3 linked regions of the Lytechinus pictus genome follow. The protein of the gene in region 3 purifies or fractionates together with the protein of the main gene of each other region. This does not show direct contact. Links are inferred from orthologs where the notes say so. Each region holds a gene or a part of one and is shown on either strand. Other genes may lie near its edges. The genes, in order: serine/threonine-protein phosphatase PGAM5, mitochondrial-like; GA-binding protein alpha chain-like; kelch-like ECH-associated protein 1B.

Evidence for each region.
Region 1: the proteins of kelch-like ECH-associated protein 1B (region 3) and serine/threonine-protein phosphatase PGAM5, mitochondrial-like purify together in Homo sapiens (affinity purification with western blotting; 6 studies listed by BioGRID and IntAct, with this or other methods). This does not show direct contact. The link is inferred for Lytechinus pictus from reciprocal best matches to the Homo sapiens genes KEAP1 and PGAM5.
Region 2: the proteins of kelch-like ECH-associated protein 1B (region 3) and GA-binding protein alpha chain-like purify together in Homo sapiens (affinity purification with western blotting; 3 studies listed by BioGRID). This does not show direct contact. The link is inferred for Lytechinus pictus from reciprocal best matches to the Homo sapiens genes KEAP1 and GABPA.

Annotation. Positions count from the first base shown.
Region 1 is NC_087246.1:20,740,219-20,750,785, reverse strand, and holds the start of serine/threonine-protein phosphatase PGAM5, mitochondrial-like, read left to right. Parts: upstream 1-6,502; 5' UTR 6,503-6,625; coding exon 6,626-6,810; intron 6,811-8,138; coding exon 8,139-8,311; intron 8,312-8,790; coding exon 8,791-9,005; intron 9,006-10,320; coding exon 10,321-10,454; intron 10,455-10,567. Other genes in the region: protein HGH1 homolog, read right to left, coding at 3,761-4,003, 4,856-5,046, 5,607-6,279. UniProt on the Homo sapiens protein: Mitochondrial serine/threonine phosphatase that dephosphorylates various substrates and thus plays a role in different biological processes including cellular senescence or mitophagy. Modulates cellular senescence by regulating mitochondrial dynamics.
Region 2 is NC_087252.1:18,355,713-18,366,482, reverse strand, and holds the start of GA-binding protein alpha chain-like, read left to right. Parts: upstream 1-6,434; 5' UTR 6,435-6,585; intron 6,586-10,770.
Region 3 is NC_087255.1:5,858,121-5,868,829, reverse strand, and holds the start of kelch-like ECH-associated protein 1B, read right to left. Parts: upstream 4,698-10,709; 5' UTR 4,104-4,697; intron 1-4,103. UniProt on the Homo sapiens protein: Substrate-specific adapter of a BCR (BTB-CUL3-RBX1) E3 ubiquitin ligase complex that regulates the response to oxidative stress by targeting NFE2L2/NRF2 for ubiquitination.

The sequences.
Region 1 (10,567 bases), on a different chromosome or scaffold from region 3:
TATTATAGGTCTACTAATCACCTGTGTGGGACGACAATGGTAATGACAATATCTTATTTGACTTTTTAGTATTGTCCTATATCTTCAGTTAGATAGAGATAGATAGATAGATAAATTTAGTCATTTATTTATTCATTTTCATTTCCAGGTACACATTAACAATAATCAATTTAGTACATTGAAAATAATCATCATACAATATCTATAATACAATATACAAGTGAAAAAAATGAAAGAACACCAGCTAATGCCTGGGGATTATCAAAAGAAATCAAGTTTCTGTTAAAGACTCTCCTCATTAGATAAATAAATGAATAGAATGTAAAAAAAACTAATAAGCATGTTGTTAAGCCCTCACTCTAAATACAAGTTGCTTAAACTTATTTTTATTATTGTTTAAACTTTTTAAACATAGATAGATAGATAGATGGATGGATGGATGGATAGATAGATGGATGGGTGGATGGATAGATAGATAGATAGATAAATAGAATGTAAAAAAAACTAATAAGCATGCTGTTAAGCCCTAACTCTAAATACAAGTTGCTTGAACTTTTTTTTTAATTGTTTAAACCTTATAAACATAGATAGAGATAGATAGACAGATATATAGATCGATAGATAGATAGTTGGATGGATGGATAGATAGATAGATAGATAGACAGGCAGATAGATAGATAGAATGAAAGATATATAGATAGATAGAATGTAAAAAAAACTAATAAGCATGCTGTTAAGCCCTCACTCTAAATATAAGTTGCTTAAACTTTTTTTTATTATTGTTTCAACCTTATAAACATAGATAGTTAGATAGATAGATAGATGGATGGATGGATGGATAGATAGATAGAAAGATATATAGAGATCGATAGATAGATAGATGGATGGATGGATAGATAGAAAGATAGATAAATAGATAGAAAGAAAGATAGATAGAATGTTAAAAAAAAACTATTAAGCATGCTATTAAGCCCTCACTCTAAATACAAGTTGCTTGAACTTTTTTATTATTGTTTAAACCTTATAAACATAGCTAGTTAGATAGACAGATAGAAAGATCGATAGTTGGACTCCGTGGATGGATAGATAGATAGAAAGGTAGATAGAAAGACAGATAGATGGATAGATAGAGGGATTGGTGGATAGATAGGAGGATGGATGTATGGATTACTGGATGGATAAAGTTATAGATAAACCTTTCTTTTATAGATAAATAAAAAAGCTACATGTATATCCAACAAACCAATGTTATCAAAAGGAGTGTGGTTGTCGAATCTATATGAAAAGTATAGTATATTGTTGCTAATCAACTCTCTTAAAGAAACACCGCAAATTCACGAACTAAAAACGTAAAATTTAGGCATGTTGTTTAATTTTGTTTTAATTGTGGAGAAAGGCAGACTAACTAGATGTATAGATAAATCGATGAATACGGATAGAGGAAAACTAATAATAGATGAATTAAATAATCTCATTTTTATTTACGAATTTAAGCAAACACATAAATCAAATGAATAAGTTTATATATTCATAATAATGAATGACATGAATGAGTCAATGGACGAGTGAATCAAGGGGCGTTAGTCGAGAACTGATCAAATTTAATACAGTGTGTGAGAGCTGAGGGAACACATCTTTAAATCGGCTGGATAATAGCTGCATGTTTATTACGATCGATGTGTATATAATGTTACCATGCATGCATTCTTCTTTATTTCTTTAATTAGTTCTGCGAACCATGGACCTATATGTGCGAACTAACTTCTCCAATTTAGCGGTCGGATGAGGGTCATGCCAAATATGGGTCTTATGAGGGCGCAAACCTATTAGGAGCTTTGCTCCAGATGAAGGAAATAATGACATATGTACCCTCTCATTCTGTCTCTCACCCCCTCTCCCTCTGTCACCCCTTCTCCCTCTCTCTTCATTCTATCATCTTCTAATTTGTTTTCTTTTCACCTGTAAACACACAATCATACATAATTATTAAGGTGTCATGACGTTTTTTCGTAACACGTTCCCACAAGTTACTTTCTCGTTCCCCCGACTAAAATTGGGAACAAGTGAGGTTATCGGCCCAAGTTGAGGTAACGAGTCAATGAAAAAACGCCAAGTCAAGTTAGGGGCTCTAAACATTCAACCATGTTCCTTGACAACAATCCAAACATTCATACAAGCTATATCTTTCTTTTAATTTAAAAAAAAAAAAAATTGCCACTTTCTGCTTTATTTTCTTCTCTATTTTCTGGTCATACCAATTTTACCATTTCATTTCCAAATAAATTTAATAGATATAGGTAGAAGATATTCCTCAAATTGAGCTAATAGGCAATGGTATATAAGAAGTATTATTATAACATGGGAAACAATAATCATATGACAGCATTTCCGTAATTTTATTACATAATTTGTATTTCTTTTAAATAAAAGAGAGATTACAGCATACAATTATTGCTAGAAGATTATTTGATCTAGCTCAAATGGATTTGAACAATTCATAAGTGTAAACATAGGATTTGTAATCTGAACAATCACATTGATACAATAACATAATTTTGAATAACATACATTATTCTGAATAAAGGTTGTGAGACAGATATGTTAAAATATGAAGATATCTAGAAATGAACAGAATTCAGACATGTCAGCTACTGATTTCAGAAAAACAACTTTGCTACAAGGAGTGTACCAAGGACGTTGCTACCAGGAGGGGACAGTGGGTAGAACCCCCCCCCCCCCCCCATGATTTTTTAAGTCATGAAGAAAAAAAAAGGGAGGGAAATTTGATTAAAAATTGGGTAGAAAGGAAAGAAGAGAGTACAAACAAGAGAGGACTTGGCCATGCAACTGAGAAACATTGCATTATTCAAGAGGGAAAAATTACATCAACTTAAGGTAATCTTCGATCTTAGATCATGATCTGAACATTCAGTATCCCATAAACATAAGAATTTGAGAATGTATTCATTCTATGTGTAGCATCCATACAGTGAACATGCTGAAATCAAGTTGTTTATAGCAGTAATTTAGAAAACAGAATTACATTAATGATGATTTAGTGAAAATCCACTGAGGAAAGTTATGAGCTTTTGAATTATAATTTCATTAGCAGTTCTTTGCTATGATATTGATTCCATAAAATCCTTAAAAAAGAAATTATATACTTGTGCATTCAATATCATCATACATTATATCACATGTGCTTCAATGAGATGAATATTCTGTTATCAATCATTAAAAAATGTAAATATATGGAATGTATACATGAATATGGGGCACCTGCCTTCAAGTGACCTCACAAAATCTAAAATCTAAAAACTTTATTTAAGTATGATGGATTCTCTTGAAACCTTTGTTAATATGTTTCTCTTTATTTTTTTTTTTCATTCATTAAAAAAGCTTTTTGTTCTGGTGAACTTCCCCTTCATCAAATTATAATCCCTGGGGGCCATTTCATAAAGCTGTTCGTAAGTTAAGAGCAACTTTAAGAACAACTGGTGAACCCTTCTTACACGCTAAACCATCATCAATTCAATATACCATTTACCACAAGAAAGGATCACCAGTCGTTCTTAAAGTCGCTCTTAACTTACGAACAGCTTTATGAAACACCCACCTGGCATCTTATTAACAAATTCATTCCTTTCATAATCCTCATTTGCTTAGATCTTTAATCCTTTATCAAAAGACACATCTGAACATATGACACAGACTATAAATAATTAAAAACTAATGCCACCCTAAGTTAAAAAATCAAATGTTAATCTTTCTGCTGGTCCTCGACCTCCTTCTTTTGATCTAGTTTTACTTTGATCTCCTCCGGTATCTCCACATCCCTAAGATTCTCCATTCCTGGTAGCGGTTCATCCATGATGAGGACATCAATCACCTGATGACACAGACTCTCAACTTTCTCATCCTTCTCCCACTGATGATACTCCCTCAGGATCACATATGTCCTTTTTTCCTTCACGATCCGCCGACCCTCCTTTGAGGCACAGAGCTGAAAGAAATGACGACAAACTTTTAATAATGAATTTTGTGTTAACCAAGACTTGATGTATTTTCATTCTACATGAAAGGAGATGAAAAATATCCATAGACTTAAATCATATACTGTACTGCGGAATAAACTGCCTAATAATCTGAGGGCCATCACATGTACTTCCACCTTTCTCAAATCTTTAAAAACGGACTTGTTCTCACGTTAGATTATTTTGTTTAGGAAAGGTATGTTACAATGTTTTGTTAATCTTTCATTTAGTATTTATGTATTTTATTTCAAGTATACCTGTATTAGACTTACTTACCTCTTTTGTAAAGCGCACAGAGATTCTGTCGAATATTATGCGCTATATAAGCATCTATTATTATAATTATTTATTTGAACAACTAATTTCTGAAGTAACCCGTTACATATAATGTGTAACTCAAAATTGAAAATATCAAATATGAACTTGTATTTCTCACTGAAATTGTATACTCTATTGAAGACATTCAAGAGTCATCACTGGACTATCTAGTTTCATCAGGAAGAATAATAAACAAATTATCAATTACTATGATATTCTATATATAAAATCATATATTTCATGCATTTAATGACTATGGAAGCTGTATCCATCCATCATTAGATAGGTACTATTGGCGGGCCTAATCTTTTTTCCATCATTAGAATTATCGACTTATTTTAAGGAAAAGGGGTCATTTTTTCAGTAATAGTCTACATACATTCTTAACAATTTTTATAGCAAGGGGTTACAGTTTTCTTTCAATTTCAACACTATCTGAATATTTTTAGCACAAAAAAGAAGAAATCTAGAAGTTCAAAAAAAGAAAAATGAAAAATACTAACTTGATAAATTGCTTCCAAGAGCATAGCACGAATATCAGGATCATCCTCCCTCTTCTTTGTCTCCTCAAGATACTGAAGATCATCTGGTAATCCTTCCATATCCTCCTCACTCAGCTCTTCAGGACCAGCTAATGGTAGCAAGAGATGGGGCAAGATATCCACATCATCTCCTAACAACCATTCATGAGATGCTAAGTAATAGTTGAAGGGATAAAAAATGGTTTGAAAACAGATTAATTCAGAAAATATACTTGGCTCATATATCAAATGGAAATGCTGGCAAATGTAAGGATAAGGATTAAAAAATTATTATAAATGTATGTACACAATATTTATATATTTACAATTATACAAAAACATATGAATAAGTATCTATTTGTGCATCCATGTCTATAAAATTCTCTCTCAGAAAGAAGAATTTGTGAATTTATCCAAGAATGTAATACTTGATTTTTCACTTCATTATCGATACAAAAAATAGAAAATAACAGATCATTGTACTTCTATAACGTTCTAAGAGAAAGCGTTAAGTGACAAGTGTCATCACCTAAAATAATATGCATACATGGAAAACTTATATGAGCCTAAAACCTAAATTTTGCCATTTAGAATCACGATAGAGGTCATTTCAAACTTCCACTTCATAGATGAACAAAGACGTGACTAAATGCGAATAACATGACTGCTGACAAGGACAAGTAATAAATAAACTTTTCTGAAGATTTTTTTCCCCCTTAATTCCAATCATTACCAGTTTCAAAACAGCAGTTCCTCAATGCTGTTGCTACTCCTCTTCTCCTGGCCATTGATAATTTATACTGAGTAAATGGAAGTAACCTCTGTACAATGCATCGCTCTCTGTTTAAGATATATTCTCTTGCTTCGGTAAGCTGAGTTAGGTTGGCTAATAAAGGTCCAACATAGTCAAGACTCGAGTTCTTCTTATTGTAACCTTCTTTACAAAACGCTTCCACAAGTTTGTTCATTCCAACAGCAGAACTTTCATCATCATCATGTTGAAGAATTTTTAAGACCCGTTCTGCTCCAGCTCTGTTTCGAGTTAAGTTGCTAAGAATCATGCAAGCTTGCTTGGCAAAAGGACTCGAAGGATTGATGATCGTCTGCAGCAAATGGGATATGTACGACAGATCAAGGGCAAGTTTTTCTGCAAAGCTATCTTCCGATGACAAATTGACCACAATATGATAAGCCTGCTCTTGGTGGGATTCGTGCACAGCATCCGAACAGATAAGCTCCCCCACAGTTTCGGCTACGGGCAAGAGCTGTGTCCCGATGGTGAGTCGCCCCTCTTTGCTTGCAGTCGTACCAGTCACATGCGCGAGTGCCGTGTCCCTGACATCGGGTCTAGTTGTCACTGATAGGAACTGAATCAGTTCTTCAATAACTGAGGCATCTGCCATCATCAATATGAAGGGGAAATATCATAAATATGAGAGAGAAATTCATTAGAAGCTGAAACTAGTTATTCCATGTAAAGCAGCGCAGCAGAGCAGAACTCGCCTATAGCTAAATAGGCTTCTCTCGCGCTCGCAGGAGTTTTATTTTGTTGACCTTTTTCAGCACGTAGATATGTAGGCTTATGTCACTAAAAACGACTGGTGGGAAATAGTCTACTCATTAAAAAGCATTCCACTTCCGGTAGCGTGACAACCTAGACAGAGACGGAAAATCTTCCATTTAATTTGATTTTATTGGTAAATTGTTTGATTGAGCAGATTCTGAAATCATTTTCTGCACCGGATTGAAATAATGCCATCGTTTAATCATGGTTTTAGAGCCGCGAAGCTCTTAATTGGAGTTTCAAGTGGGGTTGCGTTTGGAGCAGCTGCAATGAAATATTCCCAGCGAGAGCGAGATGGATTCCTCCCCACAGCTCTGGCGGCGTGGACTACCAATCACAACCCAAGTGTCAGATGGGATTCCAACTGGGACAAGTTAGTTTTGTGTTCTATTCTGAATTTTTGTGGGGAGCTTAACCGAATATAAAGTTCATTTACAAGTTCCTTCTCCTTACTCTAGAATCCAGAGGTAGAATATTCATGAATAAATTTCAAATTAAGTTAAATTTGAAAAATCATTTCTCTGAGACTTGAGTGATACTATTACTAATACTAACTAGCAAAACGTTTATTCTAAACTTAGTTAATTATAAAGTTTGAGAAATTGAGGAGGAGTTATTGAAAGAAACTGAGAAATAAAGCAGTGGCAAAAATAGTCATTTCTGACTGGTTACCAGCCAAACCAAACAAACTAGGAAGAGAAGAAGGGTTAGAAGGGCTTTGTGTCTATCAACCAAAATTTTACTGTTAATAATAATATCTAGAAAAAAAGAGAAACTATGATTTTATTGATCTTGTTTTCTAATGAAAAGGAAAGGTTTGTGCCCTATTTTGTACTTTCCACTAATGGAAGGCCCTTCCAAAATATGCTCAAAATTGTAGTTTTCAAGCTCCCTTGTGCAATATTTCTCAAGTCTCAAGATTACATGTATATTGAAAAGCGGATCACAAACAAATGGAGTTCATAATCATAGAATCGATAGTGAACACACAAAAAATAAGAGTGTTTTGTATGTTGCATAGACTAAATGCAGACAGGGTGGTTGCAGACTTCAAATGTGTTGGGCTAGAGGCATTCTGCTCTGCAAGAAAAATGTGTTCTGAAAATCCTTCACAAAGACAAACTTAAATTACATTATATGAAGTTTAACTTTGATATTTAAAGCTTGGAAGTTCAATTGTAAATGACCATTATACCTGATGATTTCTTTGAATTGTCAGTTGGCCTTGTCCCAGCCCCTGATTATGCGGGGATGGCCAGGACTGATATTCACTTATTAAGCTAGACTTTGCATGCATGCTTTTTATCTGGATTCTGAGTATGGCGATTTTTATTTGTAGGGTGATTGCAAGTGCAGGCTCTCGGGGCTTTTCATCTGCATCAATTGACTGGGCTCTGTTGTTCAGTTGACTGGGACTATTATGATCTTCACCAAATTTCTGACTTTGCCAGGAACATGCCTAAAAAATAAATATTTTTTGTGCACAAGTTAATTCCAAGGCAGGCCCTTTACTTAACTTTATAAACCAATTCTGTATTGCTAGACCCTATGATGTTTCTGAATCATTGAATAGGCAATTTCAATATTGTCATTTCATTCACTGTAAATGTAGAAAAGGGCTTTGCTAACTTTTCCTGATACCTTATTGTTTTTCCAAGCAAAAACTACAATGATTAATTTCAAGAATATCCTTATTGTCAGGAGAGACCCACAAAGCTTGATAGATCCATCCAGAACTGAGGTTGACTCTAAGGATCCAACAGCCAGCCTCTCTGGAGCAAAACCAACAGCAACCAGGCATCTGATCCTCATCAGACACGGACAGTACAACACTGATGGGATCACTGATGATGTCAGGATACTCACTGCACTGGGTAGGTACTTCCTGCTTCCTAGAATTATTCTGCTCGAGTTAGAAGTACAAAGTGGAATATGACAACAAGGCGTCACATTTTTTTATTTCATTTGAAAAATATAAAAGCAAGACTCTGATCCTGCACTGCCTCAAGTACCTTTATTTTTTATTTATTTACTTTATTATTAATTTGTTTGTTTATTTTTTATGATTAAGAATAATAATACACTAAGGCAGAGTGGATTTGGCACATTACAAACCCCATCTATTATTATTTATTACTGTACATTCATTCAACCAAAGATTAATGTAACAGATTGATAAAGATTAAGTGTCAATGATCCTTATTTCTTGAATTTCAATAATTGTTACACTGAAAGTCTAAACCTTTGAAAGTTTGCACAATGACAAGTGCGTTCTAAATTTGCAGGATTAGGATTTTAGTAATGGTATATCAACTTTTTGCAATAAATATTTAAACGTTATGAAATATTTTAGGACGGGAGCAAGCCGAAATGACAGGAAAACGACTGAAGGCTCTGAACCATCCCTATACCACCATCATCAACTCTACCATGGCCAGAGCTATAGAGACGGCAAACATTGTCTGTCAACAACTACCAGATGTACCTCGTGAATCATGTGAGCTCCTGAGAGAGGGTGCACCAATACCCCCTGAACCACCAGTGGGTCATTGGAAACCGGAAGTCAAGGTGAGATCATTATTGTGTTGATAAATCATTTTGTCTTTTATATGTATTTTATGTAATTATTAGTTTTAGTTTTTTTTCCCGTTAGATAACATCAATGAGCATTTGATGTTTCAGATGCTATACTGAATAGAATGAAGATAGGAATGAGAACCTCTTTAGAAAAAAGTGTTTTATTGTAATGAATGAAATATACCATTAGGTATTTTGAATTAATGAAATACAGGTAAGTTTGCCTATCATTAAAGTTGAATCGCTTAGGATGAAAGAAATTTGTATGACTCGGGCAATGATTTTGTGAGGTAATTGCTTTGCACAATCTAGCTTTAAGTGACTCATGCAGACTTAAATGGACGGCTATATACATATACTTGCATGAAAAATAACATGAACTGATGGCATCACCCGCTTACTACATGTAGGCCTATAGGCCTATCTTTTGTGATTTATGATATGAAACATGAAATACTTTAGTTTTCTCCTCATGATCATGAGAAGCAAAGTTATATTTCAACATCTACATGTGGAATCAGTATTGTTGTAACCTATTGTCTCTTTATTGTCAAATCTTAAAAAAAAGTGAAAAATTGTATAATTCCAATACAATATGAAATAAAAAATGGCATCATTAACTCTTTCATTGCATATCATTGTGTTGTGCATATAATTGTTTTGTGAAAAATAAACAGAATTTTAGGATATCATAACTTTTGTATTTTACATTTGATTTCGATGAAATTTCCACTGTCATGCTTGTTTTGATTTTCTCTCCTTATTTCATTTTTTTTTTGGGAGGGGGTGGACTTGCCCTTTGATAACTGGATGCCTGTTCTTTTTAATGGAAGTTAGTTGCTAGAGGCATTATTTTCCTATTGATTATGTTTTTTCCTAGTAGAGATCTTCATCACAGAAAACTTGACTGTTGTTCATTACTCTAATTTCTGTGCTAAAACATGTTATATTTCTGTATCTGGTTTGTTGTTCATGTTTTGGCTTTCCTGTTTGCGCCTTAGTCTTATAGATTTAGAGAGCTCTAGAGAGAGAGAGTGTGTGTGTGTGTGTGTGTGTGAGAGAGAGAGAGAGGGAGAGAGAAGGAGATAAATCAAGAAAGAGAGGGAGATAGGGACGGGGAGGGATAGAATGAGCAAGGAAGTGGGAGAGAGAGTTGAAATTTGGGGAGAAAGGAATAAATGAGATTGTCTGTACTTCTGTAAACTGCAATGTGTTCTTTTTGTTGCTAACACTTTCTATCTGTCTTATCTGTTTCCTTTAACATTCCCTTGCCTCTTGCTGACAACCTTGTCTTGGCATTCTCTAGCAGTTCTATGAGGATGGAGCTCGGATCGAGGCTGCATTCAGGAAATACTTCCACCGAGCTGACCCTGAACAGACGAAGGATAGCTTTGAGGTCATTGTATGCCATGCCAACGTCATTAGATACTTTGTATGCAGGTAACTGGTCTGTTATGATCCTATTTTTGACATGTCAAGCCCAACACACACTCAACGACCTGGGGACCCGTTTCATAAAGCTGTTTGTAAGTTAAGAATACTGGTGATTCTTT
Region 2 (10,770 bases), on a different chromosome or scaffold from region 3:
AACATAACTTTTGGTGGATAAATAGATATTCAAATATTGCTATCTCCCTATAAAAATTGTATTTTCGATCAAAAAATAAGACAATGGAAAGGAGCCAAAAGGGATAAAAAAGGCAGGAGGAAATAGAAAAAAAAAAGTGATCAGAGACTATTGTTACTATTATTATTTTGAGGCCTATAAAAAAATCAAATCCTCTTGTAAGTATTTTTATAGGCATTACATGGTATAATGATTGAATGAATATGTTTTAGGTCGTATATTAAAGCGGTTAATAGTCCAAGCAGAATAACATTATGATGCACAGTGTTTGTTCTACGCCAACTTGAGATTAAAAAAAACAATAGGCCTCGACCCTATGAATAATAATTATAGTCAAGACCAGGGTCCCGTAACACAAAGGTTAGCGATTAATCGTACACTTGATTTTCATTATTGATTGATTGTACATTGTAGTCAATGGAATCAATCGTAGAAAAATGTTCTACGATCATTGCTAAGCTTTGTGTTACGGGCCCCAGGTCATGTAAAACCAACTCCTCTAACTGACTGGGTAAAGTTTGATAAACTTGAATTTCTTAAGAGCTGTTTCATTTCATCTCATTTATTCCCTCATTACATTCATTAATTCTTTCTCTTTCTCTTTCTCTTTCTCTTTCTCTTTCTCTTTCTCTTTCTCTTTCTCTTTCTCTTTCTCTTTCTCTTTCTCTTTCTCTTTCTCTTTCTCTTTCTCTTTCTCTTTCTCTTTCTCTTTCTTTCTTTCTTTCTTTCTTTCCATCTTTCTTTAGATTCTTTAGAAACTTAATATTTTCCAATTTTCGCGACTATGCAAGAAAAAATAAAATAGAAAAGGAAATTAAAAGAAGGGTAAAATGGCGACGGGATTATTTTCTGAATCATACATTTATGTCAAAGCCTACTAGTAACATCACAAAAATTTGATTTTTGTCTTAAAAGTATTTAAGAAATGAGGCAAGCAACGTGCGAGATCTATAGTGAAATGTCAGGCAAAGCATGCATGCCAATTGATGATCGATCGTTTGGGACTGCCCATAATCACGAGAGTTACTGTTTCAGTTTAAAACTTTTGATTGGCAAAAATCGAACGGGCATTACCCGATTTAACACTCTACTAAGGGCGTAACATGGGTTGGTGGTCAGGGGGGGGGGGGGGCAAGAGCCAAATTTTCCCGGTCATATCATGATATGAACAGGATTTTTTTTTTTTTTTTTTTTTTTTTTTAGGGCGAAGCTCAATGCGAGATAAGTTCAAAAAATTAGGGGTACAGCATGGTGCGCGTGGCAAAAACTTCCTTAATATAAGTCCCGAGACGAGCGAAGCGAGCGAGAAAAAAAAATCACCTTTTCATTACATTCTAACTTTAAGATTTATTTGACATGGTATGCAGAAAATAACATCATATCTTATATCTTCCTTTAATCCTTTTCCTTTCATTTCATTTTCTTTCATCTTTTCTTTTTTGTTCTCGGTTGTATCAATTTTGGGGGCCAGTGCTATGCGGATCGGGTCCGGGGCAATGACGGCACCAGGATTTTTAACCTAGAGGAGGGAGGCAAAAGAACATGGGGGGCTAATATTTGTTTTAATGTAGACCCTACTGACTTTAAAATGGATTTGTTAAGGACTAGTTGTTTGCATTGGGTCATGAAGATGATATCTCACTAAAATAATAAATAATGCGAGCGCGAAGCGCGAGCTGAAAATTTTTGAAATCCTTAGAGGATATAACTCAGTGGACGTTCTAAGCACTTTTTGTAATCATAACTGGATGACTATTGATGCGAGCGCACAGCGCTGGCTGAACATTTTTGATTTATGAAATTGCAATACGCAGGCCAATGTGTATCTCGCAAAAAACGAATAATGAAAACCCTAATCGCAAGAAGCATATTGAATTGAACATTGGATTTTTAAGCCCCATGTGAACAGACAAGTTTTCTTATCTCAGTCAACAATTACTGCGAGCGCGTAGCGCGAACGACAATTTTCATTTTATAATAATAATGACCTGAAATATTTATAAGCTGGGAACTAACAATGAATGGATGAGAAAAGTTTCAAAATTTAAAGAATGAGCTGTTTTGGAGTATTTTGCAGCTTTAGTAGGATGCTTATGACAACATTTACCCCGTGTCTCCCCTTATTGGTGCCGCCTCTGGTCTGGGGCGGAGCCCCGGAACCTCGTAAAATATTTAAACATTGCAGATGGCCACTTTTTTTATCAAATCGCGGGTACATGCACAACAGTTAAGGATAAAATACAAAATATTTTGAGGCAGCACAACGTAGCAATGTGGTAAAATTTGTAAAGTCGCCAGCGAGCAAAGCGAGCCAGAAAAATTGGCCTTTCTAAATTTGAAATTAAATTCTAATCGGATAGTACAGCTTTAAAATAATAGCCAACGTAAACATTAAGAGGCTTTTTACGTCAATCTAGCCAGCGTCAAGCTTTGATTCGGTATATAACTCGGGACATATATTATACTGTTTATTATACTGTAAGAATGCTTGTCTGTAAAATTGTATTTGATTTGTATTACTTTATATTACTTTGTATTATGTTTTGAATGGAAATGGAATAAAGAATTGAATTGAATATAATATAGGGGATATAACTAGCCCTTGCATGGCTAATAAGGATTTTTTGGGGGTCCTGATTGCGACCATTATTGCATGAAATTAAGCAAGCTTATTATAGACGCCATTCCGTTCTTTATATTTTTTAATCCTTGGCAGCCAGCTAGGTCGTGTTCTTAATTTCTTTTATTTTTGTCTTGTTCATTGGCTTCATTATTCTGATTTTTCAAAATTAGCTCTTGGCTCTTTCATTTCCCGTGTCTTTTTACCTCTTTCTCCATTTTGCTGCCATTCTTGCCCGTGCCATTGGAACATATCTTTTTATTCTATTATCTCTCTCTTGCTAATGATGCCAGTATTTCAGGATAAATTTGTACTTCCTCATATGTTTTTCTCTCCTTCCTTTTCCGACATTCCTTCCCGTTTTCCCTATTTGTTCTTTATTTCTTTCCCTTTTTTTCTCACTTTTTCACTTTCCCTTTCTTTTTTTCTTTCTGTCTTTATTTCTTTTTTTTTTCTTTCTTTCTTAGTTTCTTTATTTCTTTCTTTTTCCTTCCTTCTTTCTTTCATTCTTTCTTTCTTCATTTCTTTATTTCTTTCGAAGAGGGGCATTAATTTTAAGGTTTGTTTGTAAGAATTCACTAAGACCATACGTATTTCACTATATGCGAGCGCGAAGCGCGAGCTGAAAATTTTTATATTCAGACTATAAAGGGCCATTTATGAAGACTGTATACAGGAATTCATGAAGAGCAGACATATAGACCAATCCACTGATGCAAGCGGACTGGAAATGTTTTATATCCAGACCTTAAAAGGGGATCACTTTAACGCCGAGTAGTCATGAAAAGGAAGCATAAACTACGTATTAAATTAACTCAGAGTGCGAGTAAAATATTGGTTTGATAACGGGATGTTTTAAGATTATATATCTTATTAAACAGACAATGCGATCGAGCACCATGAATTATGACAGCCCCTTAGCAAATTATGTTTCATTAAGTTATGAAACAAATATTTATCATGTTCTATAATAATATAACATAATGTAGTACAATAATTTCTTCCCCCACTATATAGGCCTACACATTTATCTTTCTCCCCGGTCTTTCTCCCCCTTTTTTCCCTGTTTTTTTTTTGGGGGGGCGGCCGACTTGGGGGGGGGGGCACGTGTCCCTTCGTAGTTACGCCACTGAAACCTTTAAAGGGGAAAAAAATCAGTCAAAGTCAAAGAATGGGGGTTTTCTTTTCTAGAACCCTCTTTCCTCGGAAAACCCAGATAGTCAAAGCAAAGAAAAAAGTAATACACCTTAGAATGGGTGCCGTTTATTGGCTGAGTCCGTCTGGGGCCCCGGATCGGGGAATTACAGCGTTAAGTCAAAGAATTGGGGCCTTTTCTGGAACCCTTTGATCTCTCTCTGGAAAATAGTCAAAGTAAAAAATAAGCAATATGAAATTAATGGTTAGAATTAAATGCAAAGTAAAATCAAAGAAAAGTCAAAACAAAGAAAAAAGTTATACACACCCTAATTAGAATGGGTGCCATAGGCTGGGTTCATCTGGGGCCCCGGATCGGGGGGCTACAGTCGGGTCTACAGTATTTTTGAGCAAAAAATACACCAACCACCCATATTAAGAGCTCGATCACTTGCAAAAGGGTTATAGGTCAATTTTTCATCAAATTTGATTTTTATGTCTCAATTAATGTATAGATTAAAATTTGTAGTAACTCTATAAGATGATACCAAAGAAAAGTTGAAATTCCTATTAAAAAGTGAACTTAAATGGCAAAGAAAAATCACTTTTTTTCAAAAGGGTTTTGGTCCATTTCAGTTGAGTTGCAAAAGGGGTACGTTAGGTCCAATAAGATTTTTTGGAAAAGAATATCTTAAAAAATATGAAGACAGGTAGATTTCTCTTATACCCAATTTTATGTTCTCATGGTAGGGTATCACGAAAATTCAGTTTCGCACAAGAAAATTGCGATATGGGAGAATTAAAAAAATGATTTTCTTGGAGTGACCTAACCAAACTCTTCTCATTTGTCAGAAGGGGTTAGTACAGTGATTTTAGTCCATTTTTCATAAATTTTTATTGTTTTCTGTCTCTAATTTTTGTCACTCTGATGATACCCAGAAGGAAAACCAGTTCCACTGGACCAGTTAGACCAGTATAATTTTAACTGGTAACTCTGGAAATTGGAACATCGGTTTACTGGTCTAACTGGTCATACTGGTCCAGTTAAATTTTTACTGGTCCAGTTAAAAATTAAACTGGTCTTGAATTACTGGAATTTTGTACTGGTCTATTGTTGCTGGTGGTTGTTACTGGTCTCACTGGTCTTCATACTGGTTGGTTTCCAATTTCAGCTGGTATTTTCTACTGGTCTGACTGGTCCTCAAAGTGGTAAAACTGGTCCTCGTACTGGTCTTACTGGATCAATTATTACATGCATTTGGTTTGTTATATACCATGGTCAGTGAAATGTGATGGAAAAGATGGTTAGTAAATTAATCTTTCTGCTGTTATTTTAAATGTGATGTATGAAATTACACATTTTCATTGTGAATTAGTTCACCAATTATTTTGAAAGTTTTTAAACAACAATGAGTGCCATTGCAAGGATATCATAAATCCTGATTTTTCTTTTAAAAACAGGAAATATGCAAATGAGGTAAACCACGTGATCAGCATCATCAGAAATACTGGTATTACTGGTCTTGACCAGTTCAATTTCAAACAATGAATTACTTTAGACCAGTTGACTCTATCAGAGGAATATATCTTGCTTTGATCTTAATCATTTAAAAAAGGAAACAATGTTAATACTTAATAATTATGATAATATTAATAATAATAATTACAATATAAATAACAATGATAACAGTAATAAGAATGATAACAAAAATTAATGATCATAATAATCATAATAATTATGATAATTATAAAAAGAATGATGATAACAATGATAAATGATAACAGTAATAACTGTCTCTGAATTGCAAGATTCATTTTCCATAATCATATGATCTGACTTGAAATAAAGTCATTATTTATTTGACCAGTACAACACCAGTTTGATGAAAAACAATTTAACTGGTATTACTACTATGTTTGAACTGGTCTCCAGTTGATTTTTACTGGTCCAGTTAAAAATCAACTGGTCCAGTAAACATATACTGGAAACCAGTAAAAATCTACTGGAAACCATTTATTGGACCAGTAGCATCAGTTTGAGGAAGAACAATTTAACTGGTATTGCTTCAACTGGAATGCAGTTGTTGGAACTGGTCTCCAGTTGATTTTTACTGGTCCAGTTAAAAATCAACTGGCCCAGTAAAAATATACTGGAAACCAGTAAAAATATACTGGAAACCAGTAAAAATATACTGGAAACCAGTAAAAAAAAATACTGGTCTAACTGGTTTTTCCTTCTGGGTACCAAAGACAATTTGAAATTCAAATGAAAACGTGAATATGAAAGTGGCAAAGAAAAATCTCTTTTTTAATCAAAAGAGATTGGATTCATTTCAGTTTACTTGCAAAAGGGGTTAGGTCCACAATGATAATTTTAAAAAAAATATATATATAGGTCTTGAAAAAAATTGAAGACATGCAGGTAGATTTCTTTTATACCCAATTTTATGTTCTCATGATAGGGTAGTACATCATGACAATTAAGTTTCTCATAAGAATATTGGAATAAGTGAGAATAAAAAACATGGTTTTTCTCGGAATGGTCCAAAAGTGGACCGATAACGTCCTAATAAACCCCTTTTGCATCTAAACTCTTCATTGTAGATAGTCGACTAGACGTGCATTTTGCGTTGCGAAAATTGCGTCGCCGAATTTGAGTCAAAGCCGTGACATCGGAACCGGAAGCTGTGAATTTAAAGCCCTTTTTGACCGTAATACTTGAAAATATTAAGCGGGTACTTCTGCTAACTTGCTAGCGAAAACACAATTCCAGTTAATTTCCACTCGTATTGGTAAGTAGGAAGAAAATAAAGTCACAGTATGGTTCAATATCTCCGTACGTGTCTAATTGCTTTGTTCTTGGCGTCTTAAAAATTCTATGCAGTCCCACTTGTTGATATTTCTGTACTGTCTGTACATGTACGTTGAGTAACATTCTGCATTTAATTTTAAATTTGGTTTGTCACAATGCATGTGTTGTTGTTTCAATGATATGTCTAACGTTATGACGAAAATGCAAGGGCCATGCAAGGTACGATAGGGACCTTTAATTTTAAATAAGGTTACAAATGGACTTTTTGTGAGAAGTTGTAGAGTAAAATTCTGGGAGACTGGGGTAAAAATAAATGAAAAGAAAAAAAAATAAAGCAGGTACCAGTTTAGACAGCAGGCAGCCGTCTGTTTCGAGGAGTTTTTTAACATTTTTTTATTTTTTAAATTTCTCCTCATACACAGACGGCTCGCTATCGTGCAGCCACCATTAGGGGACTTACAATTAACCCTGTAAGTAAGAGCTCTGATCGGATCGGATGATCGGGGGCACATACTTATCCCTATGATCGGTATCGGTCGAAAATATCGGCAGTAAATATCGGATTTTGCTATTTGTTTATCAAGCACAATAAACAGACCCATATTGTCCTTAGCTGACCCCATGCATGCCAAGCACTACTCACATATCTATTCATCCCCTGGAAGTCTGGGTTTCACTGTCAAGCAAGGCAGTGATTTACGATTGTTCTACGCCGACATGACCCAGCTGGTTGGTATCACTACCAGCGTTAGAATGGATCTCCCGCCCTCACAGCGCGCCCATATAATGTTGTAAATTCGTCATCACAAGCCAAAGCCCGGCCGACCACTAGAGAGAGGGAGAGGGAGGGAGCATCGGAGCTCATCTAATAAATACGCCAACGCAGACACTCCCGATCCAATCCGCACAGAGAGTTGGAGAGAAGGTGTGAGAGAGAGATGGGGAGAGGGGACGGAGGGAGTAATGGAAGAAAAAAAGAGAGCAGAGAGTAAACCTCGTGGAATGATGCCAACTTTTATCTGTGGGTATTTAAAATTTGATTAGGCCTGACGGAAATGTAAGAAAAGTATGTTTTTTGTATGAAGTCATTGTTTCTTGTTGTTTGTTTTGTTGTTGCTCTTTTTTTCAACAAGCGTTGATCATGAAAATAGGAATGATTAAATGTTGAAGTAACAGCAAAATTGGGAAACAGAGTGTTGGAGCAGTTGTTTCGTTCAAAGCACCCTTTGCCCCCCCCCCCCAAAAAAAAAGGGTGAAAGTTAATTTTAGGCCTGGGACGATTGTCATTTTTACCATTCGATTATTTCCTGAAAAAATTAATTGAATGATTCGACTGTTCGTCAGGAATCACATCTTTTAAGTCACAATATTTATAGTGACCCCCCATGAAGAAATCCCCATCAAAGTCACATGTTTATCATAAATGAAAGTAGGCCCTTTCCCCCATTCTCCATGATTTTTATATCAAAAGAAATTACATGAAATGAGATTAAATCTTTCAGTTTATCATTCCAATGAAAATCTTTCCTAAATCAATGCTGGTACCCTGGTATTATGCATGCATCCCTCCAAGTGCCACACCCCTGCATATGAATGAATCAGCCCAGATCAGCCGAGTCCAAAGCCCAAAGACATCTTAGTATTTAACAACTCATTCATGAAGTATTCTTTGAGACTGACACACAGGTGGAGCATTTCACTTGAAAAAAATCATCCCTTGCCCACACCATGTCCCCATCCCCACTTGTGGCATTCCCCACGATGCTACACATGTATTTAAAAAAAATGTTTTGCAAAATATTTCATTTGAAATACCTTTCAAAATTACAAATTTTTATCACTTGAACCTACATGTATAACTGGGTCTATTTTTTAGACTAATCGAGAAAGTACTGGTGAAGGCGGCGCGTGATGGAATGTCGTTTTGATTGTATGAGCGGGATATAAAAAAGGTTGCATTGTTTTTAAATATGAAAGGAATTCTCCGGCTCCCACCCCCTATCTTTCTCTCTCTCTCTCTCTCTCTCCCTCACACACAGATGGGGGAGGGGTCAATTTATTTCTGAAGTCACAACCTTTCCTGATAAGGGAACCACTAGGCCTCTTCTTTGTTTCCCCAAAAGTTTCATTGGCTATCGAAGCCGAAGGTCCAATCAGCTCAAGTGAGCTGATTGTGTGTTTACTTTCTGTTTTGAGCATGCAGACAATGACTTATTTTGTGAATCGAGGGCCAGGTCGGGTGGGATTAACATTTTCGGAGCTCTTTCGTGTTGGTGTGTAACTGTGAATGTGATACAATCATTGATAATTTTTCAAAAATTACCTTGGTAACATCATTTTTAAACCTGTATCAAGTATTCAAAAACCGCTGTCATCATTGTTTTCTTGTCATTTTATTATTACTTGGGTATTCGATTTATCCCAACGTCATAATCGGGATCTGCCAAACATTCGATTAGTGTAAATTTTGCTAATTGATTGGCGATTGGCGGCACGCCATTCGATCAATCGATGTTTACTCCCATGCAGGCCTAAAAGTTATATTAACACAAGCGAAAAATAAAAGGCAAGAGAAAGTAAAAGATCGAAATTGACATTGGAGTTTTCACGCTTTGCGAGGAGATTGGTTGCTTCTGTTCCCAACTTTGGTAACAGATCATGTGTGTTGATGTTTCTGTGTGAAAATGTGGGATGATGGAAAAAAAATCAGGGGGAAAAACTCTTCATTCTGACCCTCTGACATGCGGGACCGTAAGTTGGAGCTAGCTCGTAAATTTTGGCGAAGCCCTGCCCTCCTTGCTTGGAATTGACCAATGAGAATCGTTCCCTCTAATTTCCATTCACGGCACTCAATGCTGATTGGATTTATCATCTGACAAGATCTCCTTTATATCACGAGCGTTGTTTACAAAACCACTGGAGTGTAATGCACACCAGTCGATTAGGGGGATTTTCTCAAGTGGATGTTTCCAAAATATTAAACAAGTCTCGTCCCTGGGGTCAAAGTTGTCAATGAAGGAGATGTGGGCAGGAAAGGGTGTTCATATTTGTTAGGGGTGCACCATTAGATATCCAGGGGAGGGGGCTGGAAGTTTGAAAAAAACTTGACTTGCTAAATGAGCAACATCAAAAAATTGACTCAACATCAGAGTTAAAAAAAAAACTTGGTCCACTGACAAATCATCTCAAAGGTGAAAAAAAAACCTTGTCTCAATGGGGAAAAAATGCTCAAAGAAAGGAAAAAAATTGCATGAACTCAAACTTCCAGCTTCCCCCCCCCCTGGTATCTGGTACGTCCCTTACGAAAGATGATTATTCAGGGATGTGTACCAGCCATGATCCTTCTACTTTTCTTTCCTATCATTTACTTTTATATTTTTCATCGCCATTATTGTCACCAACACAATGTTCATACCTACAGAAGTATTGTTTAACTCGAAAACTCATACTAGGTTTATGTATTAGTCGGGGGAAAAAAATCCCCTACTTGACCTATGAGACAAAAAATTGCAATGAATAAGCCCACTTTTATATGTCGACTAATAGTTGCCCAGTTCAATCAAAATAATAACAGATCAACATTGATACTCTATTAAAAAGCATGTAATTTTCGTTTCTTATAAGACGCACGAAAATAATTCAGTTCCAGCATGTATTGTTCTACGCACATCACTACCCTGTCCCCGGACCCCCTATTGCTACGATCTGGCATTATTTCAAAGTAACATAAACCGTTACTCTCATTCCTTTCAGCCCCCCCCCCCCGTTCTCTCTCCCCCTCGTACGGTACCCGTAGTCAGTCTCTCTCCCCCATCTCTCTCTCTCTCTCGAGCTCACTGAATCTTTGAATTCCCAGGTCATCATATCAGGACGGCCAGCATGGAGCTCCGCCTAGTACCTCGATGTGATGTTGCATGCGTACACGTGGTCTTTTTTTTTTTAGTCTTGTGTTTCCTCCGATCCTTCAGCGCTGTATTCATATCACAGTATCACACCCATGGCATGCACAACAATGGAAAGACGAAAATGTAAACATGCTTTTCATATTCTTAGACTGATTTAAAACATAAACATGCTTTCAAAACACATCCAAGTTTCCTTTTATTTTTTGAAATCATATTACAGAAAGTGAAATAACAAATTTTGAGAACGTGAAACAAAACAG
Region 3 (10,709 bases):
ATAAACTGAACTAAACTGAACTGAGTCTAGAAGGATCAAGGAGGCTCTTAGAGCCCATTTAAAAACCCAATTTTCATTTTCATTCAAACTTCCTATAGCTGGTACAAAAAATGTTAAAGCGGGTGTTTTCGACTCGCCGTGCAGCCGCCATAGGAGAAATGTGACTGCGCCTTTACAGAGAAAATAGATTTGTACAATATAGGCCCATCAGATCAGGGGCAGTACCAGGGTATGGGGGGGGGGCAGAGGCTAGATTATCTGAAGGTGATGTAATTGTTGTTTATTGAAGAGTTACAAAAAGACATAGGCCCCGAGCTTTCTTGCTCCTTTATTCCTATTCTTCCTTATTATCTCCCTTTCCATGCTCCCCTTTTGACACTATTCGGAAAAAAAAAATCATGGGGGGGGGGGGGGGCGGAGAAATCGCCCCTTGGTTATATCTTGACCTAAACTGTGTGTGTACTATTATGTACATATATAATATGACACATAGAGGCCGTTCTCATTACGCTTTCTAAAACTAGTTTACTGGAAACCGGTTCAGGAAACCAGTTTGGAAGATCGCTTTGCTAACGTTCCCACTTGATTACATGAAAGTGGTTTTCAAAATCACTTCACGTAAAGCTATGTTGCTATGGAAACGCTCTCAGTGGGGTGACACGTTTCCCGCGAAATTTCAAACCGCAGCATACATGTAGGCATTCTACACCTGTCGTGTGGAGTAGTGCGCTCAAAATGTGCGAAGATCGCGTCCCGAAGAACGATTGTGTCCTCACTTACACTAAAACCAGTTTAAAGAGGCAAAGCGATCTTGAAAACCACATCGCGAGGTGGTTTTCCGAACTGGTTTGGAAGATCGCTTCCAAGACCGCTTCGACCGTTCTCACTACGCGTTAAACTAGTTTCCACTAAACTAGTTTCCAGTAAACTAGTTTTAGGAACGTAGTGAGAACAGCCTCATATACATGTAGTCATGTTCAGGATAATGGAGGTTTCATTGTAATGTAGGCCAACATGTACACAAAGCATAGTAGTGGTGGAAACTGGGGGTTTCCCCAAAAGAAGCTTTACATACATGTCTATTGCCCCACCCTCTGTAACTATTCAACTTTCAATTTGAGCAATGAACTTGTGGTTAATCGTTTCACCAAGGCCAAAGGTGTGGTATTTAAAATGTAGAGGAACTATTTTAGCAGAAATGTGCAAATTTCCTTTCCATTCACATTGCACAATGGACAAGTTGAGACTAATGAAAATTCTTCAGATTTCTTCATACTAGTTTTACAGTGTGGATATGACTGTGTATCATCTATTTGATTGGAATTTCCACTGCTCTTCATTATTAATTTTGTATCATTTGTTTGTCATATAATATGAAAAGACAATGAATTGTCAAATGTTCGAATCCAACAATAAATGAAAATACTAGGAGAAAATGCATTTTGTGTATGGAGTGCCTGTACTGCACCTTTAACGGGTGCCGAGTCACTGCAACGAATTAAATCCGGAAATGTATAAAATCTAAATAATTCCACTCTCCCCGGATTCAATTCCTTTTTTCAAGTGTTTGTGAATCCATACAGAATTAGATTAAACTCAGGTTATATTAACATTAATTTGGCTAATTGTGCACAACAACCTATGAACACAAACTGTGTGGATCTAGAAAACCTTGAAGAATTTGGCATAATTTCATGAAATTTACTTAATACAAATCATCCAAATTAGTGGGTTGGAAATAAATGGATTACCGTAGCTAGGTTAATCAGATTCCTTCCCAACCACTTTCGGAGAGCGCATGGAAATCGAGCAAGTCGATCCACTACAAGCCCACCTGGACCACTCCATATCTCATCCAATTAAAGGACCTGGGTTTGATCCTCGACCCATCTGCTATGAATCATTGCAAGATATCTTGTGGAGTCATTCAGGTCACTGTGAGACAGAATCTCAAGACTGCTGACTCGGCATCTTTTACTGTGCGCTAGGTTCTGTAGGGCGACCCGAGTGGCTGTTCGTTGACACCGATCGCTCGCTCGGGTTGAAATCAGGACCCAGAAAGGGGAGTGAACGCTTCTTGATCTATCATTCCTGGGACTTCTATACTACATGTATACTACAATACATTTATAGACTCTTTTTTGTGGGCCCTACATGTAAATCATTTATACTCCTATTTTTCACTGCTTAAATAACAATATGCTAAAATGACAATAATCAATACATATTCTGGTCTCTTAAGATATGAAGTTTGAATATAATAATAAGTAAAATTCAATAATTGCAGTTCCATTTTAAATGTCTTCACAGTTGCCAATTTTAAGAAAATAACATACTTTATCAGAGATCACAATTCCCATTCTCTTTCTCAGTTCGATAGTAATTGTGTGGCCGGCATTTAGGATCAGAATAAGAATTTATATTTTTTTATCAGAATGTCGAATGATTTTTGTATTATTGCCTAGTAGTAAGCACAAAACAGTCTGCAGCTTAATAAATCTTAATCAATGTATAATTACTCATATTAATGATTTTAATCTTCACCTACATGCAGTTGTCATTACATGTATTTTGATTTAAGATACTTCCTCTCAAAACAATACAAATAGGCCTACTTCCTCTCAAGACTATCATGTATATGAGACAACCTGAATTTAAATAGCGACAGAGTGTTATAGGGTAATAATAAATAAGAAGCAGGCAATAAAATATGCTCCATGTGCCGGTACATGTAGGTTTTATAATTACAAGCACGGATGGTGGAACTGTCACATTTATCATTTACTTGGTTACGTAAGGATGATCACTGCCTGGCTCGGTGGTCTTAGGTTGAGTCAGCATATTTTCTCTACTCTCAACTCTCATTCTTGATTTTATGATAAATGCCAGTTGTGGTAACGATATCATAATGAGTTCGTACAGAATCCAATGAAATGACCACTAAAGTGTCTGTTTGTATTTATAAATAAAAAATATGTGCCAAAGGATTCTGGAAGAAATTGTGTAATTGCTGAGAAATTAGCAAATAAGCACGGGATTCGGGTCAAGCGTCGGGCCGACATCCAAAGCAAGAATAATACACTGTCCCACGTGCGCTTGTCTGTGTTGGTGATCTTCAGTGTGAACATTTTTCAGCGTAGATTTTAAGATTTCACAAAGTTCAGTTTATGTAACTGTACCATATCTAGATCCTCGATGATACAGTGACAATTAAGCCTGGTTTTACAGATTTTCTCGTGAAATCAGTGTTTACTACAACTACTTTCATTTATCTTTAAAATTCAAATTTAAGATTAGTCTATATGTCTAGTACCCCCTAAACGACATTTTCATTTTTATTTGAATTTTTTTTATTTCAACTTTAAACATTTTCGTTAAAAAAAGGGGATAATCAAACACATAATTTAGAAATTTAATGATATGATAAGAAAGCTACATAGATTTATGTACAACTTGAATTTTTGGGGTCCATTCCATGCAGGTAAAAAAAAATATGTAGACACTTTAACTGGATCGGGCACCCAAGTCAATCATATTTCGCATAAAATCTCACACTTTATCCTGTATTACAAATTTATTCATTCATCTAGTAAAGAACTGGAGTAGTGACATGCACTACACAAAAGTAAGATGTGCCTCTGCAGCTCTGAGATTTAAATGCATTTAAGTAAGTACTAGAAACCATGTACCAAAACAAGGAAATCAATGAGGGATATTCTATCAGTATCACCCAAATTTATATAAATATAAATGACTATTAAAAAAAAACAGAACAGGGAGGCCTTAATTCAGGCATGATATCCAACAGGGCCTATACATCATCAAAATATGCTGACACATTTGGTATAAAATTGGAAAAGTATGTTTTTGATTCAAATCAATTCAATACCATATGATATAGTAAAAAAAGGAAATAAACTTGTCTTTCAGTTTATACATGGCCTACAAATATGAAAACAAAACTGAAGAAATTACACTTATATACACCATGGTTTCTTCAATCATGCAAAACAAAATTAATCTTCATCATACAGGGTAGTTAAGACAAAATATGATACTGAGGATTTAGAATATGTTTTCTTCAAAAAATGAGTAAAACATACCACTCTTGAAATAAATTCCACACAGAGACAAGACAAGAATAAAGTATTCCAAAATATTTCTGCAGTTGATAGATCCGCAATATTCAGAGCAGTCCAGTGACTATTCCGTGATTATTCGTTACTTGAAACACGAAGCACACCTCAGAGAATCTTTCGATGTAAATCACATACATGTACTCGTAAAGGTAAACAAATCCTGAATATAATGATGCACATGTATTCCAGCAATGCTATTTGGCGATAAACCAGAGGTATACAATGAATTATAAACACACAAAGATATCCTGCAGGCCGAATTGAATTTAGTAGTTCTGAAATATGACAAAAGCCGGTTTTCGTCTAGCAAGTGTAAAGTAGGATACTGCCAAATTATTCCGAGTCATCTTGCTTATAAACACCTTCAACTTGCGGCGGCGGCTACGAGCCAACCATTTTACGGTTGGGACTCATTCAACTGCCTACGTATCTCCCTTCCAGAATGCATCGGCGGGTAGATACGTGCGCAGGCAGGAGTTGGGAGTCCACACAGCATGCACGACCATGGCATGACTGTGCGTTTATGACAGAGTGTGTGTTGTGTGTATGTGTGTGTGTGTACGAACGGTGCAATATGCTATCGCCTGCAGGTGAGGGTCACTGTAGCATGTTATCTGATCAGTCAGGGTTTTGAGTGTGGAGTATTAAAGAATATGTGACTCAGCATTATTCTACACACACAATCACTCCTAAGTACCTTGGCTATAGGACACCTACTATTGATCACGGAATTATGCTTTGATCCATCTCCCTGTCCAATGGAAATCTATTGAAGCATAAAATAACTGATACAAATGCTCTATCTAACAAATGAACCAAGTGAATGGGAATTAAGTCAATTATTCCCTCTCTTTATTTGAAAAAAAAAAGAACCTGGTGGATAAGATGCCTGGCTTCATCATAGTGTTGCAAAGACACATTTTCCATTGGATTCATAAAAAGTGGGTCTAAATAAACAAGTGTCAGTTAAATCCCTTCTCAAGACTAGACTCAGACAATGGGATATATCAAACACCAGTTTCCATAAATAGAATATTCAAACAGGAACTACTTGAATTGCATTATGTAACAAAGAGAAAGTGTACTAATACAAATCATTGAGAATTAATAGAAGAGTTACTTGTTTCACATGTTTACTTTTAATGATTGTACCAATAAAACCACGATTAATGTATAAGTCCTTCTGTAAACTAATAACTATATATATGAAACTGCTCAAAACTGGTGGAGAACTGCCACTTTCCTAGCTGTATAAAGAGCAATTTGACATCAGCATAGACTCCCCTTTAAATTATAAAGATGTGAAGATGAGAAAAGAAAGAAAAATTTGTGAAGATGTTTCCTTGAGACAAACCAAAGTTGGAAATTCAGAAAGCAGCACACACCCGCTGCCATGGGGTGTGTTTATACTTACCTTTACATGAATGTTTAGAAACGTAAAACTTGGATTTAAAAAAATCACAATTGATGGGAATCTGCTTAACACTGTGCAAGACAACGAGTTGGAAAAAAACCTAGCTGTTGTGCAATATCCATGAGTTGTATGCAGGTGCACATCGTCGCTTGAGTTTAAAATTTTGTAATACATATTTAAAAGAAATAAATGAAATACAGATAGCTAAAAAAGAACTTGATTCCAGAGTTATAAACATAAAGAACCCTTCCTTTGCCTAGAAAGGGTTCTCAACAGGAAATAAGAGACTGTTTCCTGATAATATGAGGTTGCTCCCACTGCCATATAATAATAATAATAATATAGGATTTGTATAGTGCACATATCCACCTTGCTAGTAGCCTCTTGTTGAGGCCCTGGCGGCTGCTACCCGAGCGAAGCGAGGGATTTCCTAATTCGCGAAGCGAATTAGGCCTGGCGCGAGCCAGGGCCTCTTGACATCTGAACCGAATTATATATTCATGAGGAACGTTTTCCTAATGAATATACATGAGTCATGATATTACCGGTCACCGAGTAAACCAATGAAATGTCAGAGCTGTTTCGACTTGGGTTTGGAATACTATAGTAGTCCGGGATAGTAGTCCACTATTCTGCAGGGGATTCATTTAATTGCGGGACACTAAAGGGGATATAACCAGCAAAATGCTACAAGTTGTGGTACTACTACTACTACTACTACTACTGGCCGTAACAGACCCATCACCGCCCCGAAACTTCCCAGGAGATACTGCTCAGCCGCTGGTCAGACTCGAGTCAACTCCCAGCAACTCCACCCCAGCTTCCTTCACTGCATGCACTGTACAGCGGAGATTGATAATCGACGCCCCGGATCGACCGGTGGAATCGCATGAAATATTAAATTTTTTCCATATCCTGTGGATAGATTTACAAAGACATCTCGTCCTTTCAGTGCAGAGTTAATTTCATCGACTTGCAAATCCTTAAATCGGTCAATATTCAGCATTTTAGAGGCATATTCAATGCTCTTTGATATTTCGTCGTCACTCTTCGCCAAGAATCAAAGGGTCGTTATTCAAGATGAGCTCATGAATATTTAATATGACGTCATAGCAGCCCGCGCTCTCATTGGATGATTTTCACCGACCAGTTTTTGGTCGGTGAATTGGTAAAAACAATAAAAAACAAAAGAAAGTCGGTGAAATTCGGCACAGATGTCAAGAGGCCCTGTCTCGCGGCGCTCTGCTTCGCTCTCTCCCTTGCTTTGCCATGTTCGCTCGGAAAGCAGCCGACAGGGCCTCGACAAGAGGCTACCTTGCTAGGTGCTCAAGGCACTCCTATATTACCCCAGCTAAGCTATAATATACTATACATATCATAAAATACAACTCTTTCTAGTAGCGTACGCAGGATTTTTGAAAGGGGGGGGGGGTTCAAGCTGAATGAAAAGTTGACAACAACAACAAAAAAAAGGTCTTCACAAATTTTGACAAGCCAAAAAAAAAGTCTTCAACATTTTTTTTTTGGGGGGTTGAACACCTGCAACCACCCCCAGCGTACGCTACTGACTCTTTCTGGCCTGCCCTAAAAAATTGTTAAATTTTGAATTACAAGGTTTTAACACCCAAGCAAAGATACATGTATCAAGAAATGTAATGTTGTGTAAAAAATGCATTGATAAGTGATGCAGAGTTATGCCTGGAGGCTGACTTGTTGAAACGATATCAAAGCCAAATTAACCCTTTTTGTGAGTTAATAGCAATGGCATTCAATGCAAGAATAGGAAGAAACAGCATTTTGAAATTCAAACCACGTTTTGCTGAATTTTACTGTTTGCACAAACATGATAAGGGATTAAACCATATCACAATATATTTCAAAAGCACAGGTCTATATACCCCAAGAAAAAAATGAGGATAATGCGATTCTTCGAAACGCTCTGTTGAGTGGGAGTCTATACACACCTATTTTGATTACACCTACTAAATGAAGTCAATCGTGACCCACTGAAAAGAATCGTTTCACGAAATTACATCAGAAACTTGTCTAAAACTATTTTCATGTTTCATACAGAGAATCAAACATTGGAATGCATTTCAGCAGATACATGTACCAGGCGGATTTGAGAGGATGCCGGAAGACTGCTTGAATTTTGCCGAGACTCTTTAAACAAAGCATATGCCGGGGGGGGGGGGGGCAGTCAAATGTATTGCTGAACACACGCATGACCAAATTATTTCCAAACACCCACTAAACAAGTTTTTTCTGTGTGTGCAAGATAACCCCTTAACAAGTTTTTTGTGGGCTTTATTTACACAATTTGGCCCCAAACAAGTTGTCGCCAGAATATGACCTCGGGGTAAAAGCTTTGGGAAAAAACATACCCTAAACAGGTTTGGCTAGTCTTTAAAAAAACATACCCTAAATACGTTTGACCCCGCGATTGACCATTGACCAGTTTTTCAAAACCACCCTTTTTCTTGAAAATCAGTGTTTTTGATACCCTTAACAATTGCACGCGCAGCCCGCGTCCACAGCTGAAAAAAAAAACACCCCTTAAAATGCGTTTTTTTGGCCACGCATGTGAACAGCAATATATTTGACTGCCCCCCCCCCCCCCCCCGGACATATACCACCTAGAGGTTGAGCGTGTTGATACATAAGAGTCTCTCGAATCAGCCAATATGAGCTTGAATTTGGATTCTCTGTATAAAAACACAATTTCATAGTTACGTACATACGTACAGTACATGTACACGACTGTAGCTCTGTATGTTCATCAAACAATGACAATGCATGAAAACTTGACACTCTAGCCAACCTATTTTTACAGGCGAACGATAAGCCAAGGCAGACAGTATATTTGACTAAAAGATTTTCTGGTACCCAGCTTTGAACTGTGAGCTTTATTCAAACGATGATCTGATGAAATGCAATTAACACTCTACAAAGTGTTGAGAAAACAAGCTTTATTCATCCCCAAAGTATAGATATCCTCCTTAGAGCAAATTAGCATAGAGAGCAGTTACCAAAACAGTTATAAATACAATGGGTGTATCTTTTTGAGAAAAAGCTAGTTAGTACTTGAGCTTAGAGCAAAGAAATGAACTTAGAGCTACATGTAGCTAACAATAGCTAACAATCAAGGTACAGGGGCAAGGTCATGAAGCTAATGGAACTATAGATATCATTATCATCATCATCATCATCACCATCATCATCGTCAACATCATCAACATCATCATCATCATCATCATCATCATCATCATCATCATCATCATCATCATCATCATCATCATCATCATCATCATCATCATCATCACCACCACCACCACCACCACCACCACCACCACCACCACCACCACCACCACCACTACCACCACCACCACCACCACCACTACCACCACCACCACTATCATCATCATCATAATCATCATCATCTATCATATCACAATCCATATCTTGAAAGTCCAAGGTACCAACATTCATTCCCACAAAGCAGGCCCTGATATCAAATTGATGAATTGCAATATTACTGTACTGCCTACTTATTCTGAACATGATATGGCATATATTTCAGTTTTGAAAAAAAAAAACGCAATCCACACTGATTTCATTTTTTTTCCATTCCAAAATACACTGGATCAAAGGCAGCAGATTGGGTTATATGTAAACAAAGCACCCAACAACGGAGCAAGTCCAATACATGATAAATTCTGCAAGTCATGGCGATTTTCTATCTTGAAAAGCACAGTCCCTGGGAGTTGATACATGTACAAAGGTCTACATATATTGTGCTGACATCCAGGGTAAATCCAGATACATGTATATTGGTAATCGTAGTTATGTAACAATAATAAATGAGTAAGATTAATAATTATCATAATTTATCAATAATTGTTAACAATCATGAATTTAGTGACAAACACGTCTTGTATGATTAGGTGTTTTAAATTTCTGTGGTGTACATACATGTAGGATCATCAATCTAGCTTTAAAACTATACATGTAGATTGTACATTTACAATACATGCCTGTACATTTAAAAGGCATATGTTTTCTGATACCCCTATTGCCGATGCAGCTAATGTAAAATAAATCCAAATGAGCTGTAGTTTCATTGTAGAGACCGATCGAATCCTGGATTTACTTTCAATCCTGCAATTATTTTCAAATCAAGGGATCTGAATTAAAATCCTTTGAGATTAAAAAATGAATCTTTGGGATTATAAAACTAAATCCAGAATTCAACTGGTCTCTAACTACAGTCCATTAGGACTTATTTTGAATTCCTGCAATTCAGTGTACCATAATGATTGATAAGCCACGCTATATCCTTGCTGCACTCATAAAAGATAATGCAGACATTTCTGAATTGTGTAAGTTTTTATTGCCGAGTCGAATCATTCTGATCCGTATTCAATCCAGACATAGAGGCTGTTCTCACTACGTTCCTAAAACTAGTTTACTGGAAACTAGTTTAACGCGTAGTGAGAACGGTCGAAGCGGTCTTGGAAGCGATCTTGCAAACCAGTTTGGAAAACCACCTCGCGATGTAGTTTTCAAGATCGCTTTGCCTCGTTAAACTGGTTTTAGCGTAAGTGAGGACACAACCGTTCTTCGGGAAGCGATCTTCGCACATTTTGAGCGCGCTACTCCACACGACAGGTGTAGAATGCCTATGCTGCGGTTTCGAATTTCGCGCGAAACATGTCACCCCTATGAGAGCGTTTCCATAGCAACAAGAGCGCTTTACGTGAAGTGATTTTGAAAACCACTTTCGTGTGATCAAGTGGGAACGCTAGCAAAGCGATCTTCCAAACTGGTTTCCTGAATCGGTTTCCAGTAAACTAGTTTTAGAAAGCGTAATGTAAACGGCCTCTATATCTACACTTGTTTACTAGTGGAACATGAAAGGAGTACAATACTATATAGGCCTATTAGTCTTGTGTGAATGCAGCTATTCTCGACACCCCTTGAAAACTGAAGCTATTTTTAGCATCCTCCACCCAGTAAACATGAATGTGTATCAAGGTCAGGTACTGAACATTCGAACACAGATGCTGACCATACTGGTAATTACAATAGGTGCTGATGATAGCAAGCTTTGCCACATTTATCAAGGAATGGGGGGGGGGGCAGTCAAATGTATTGCT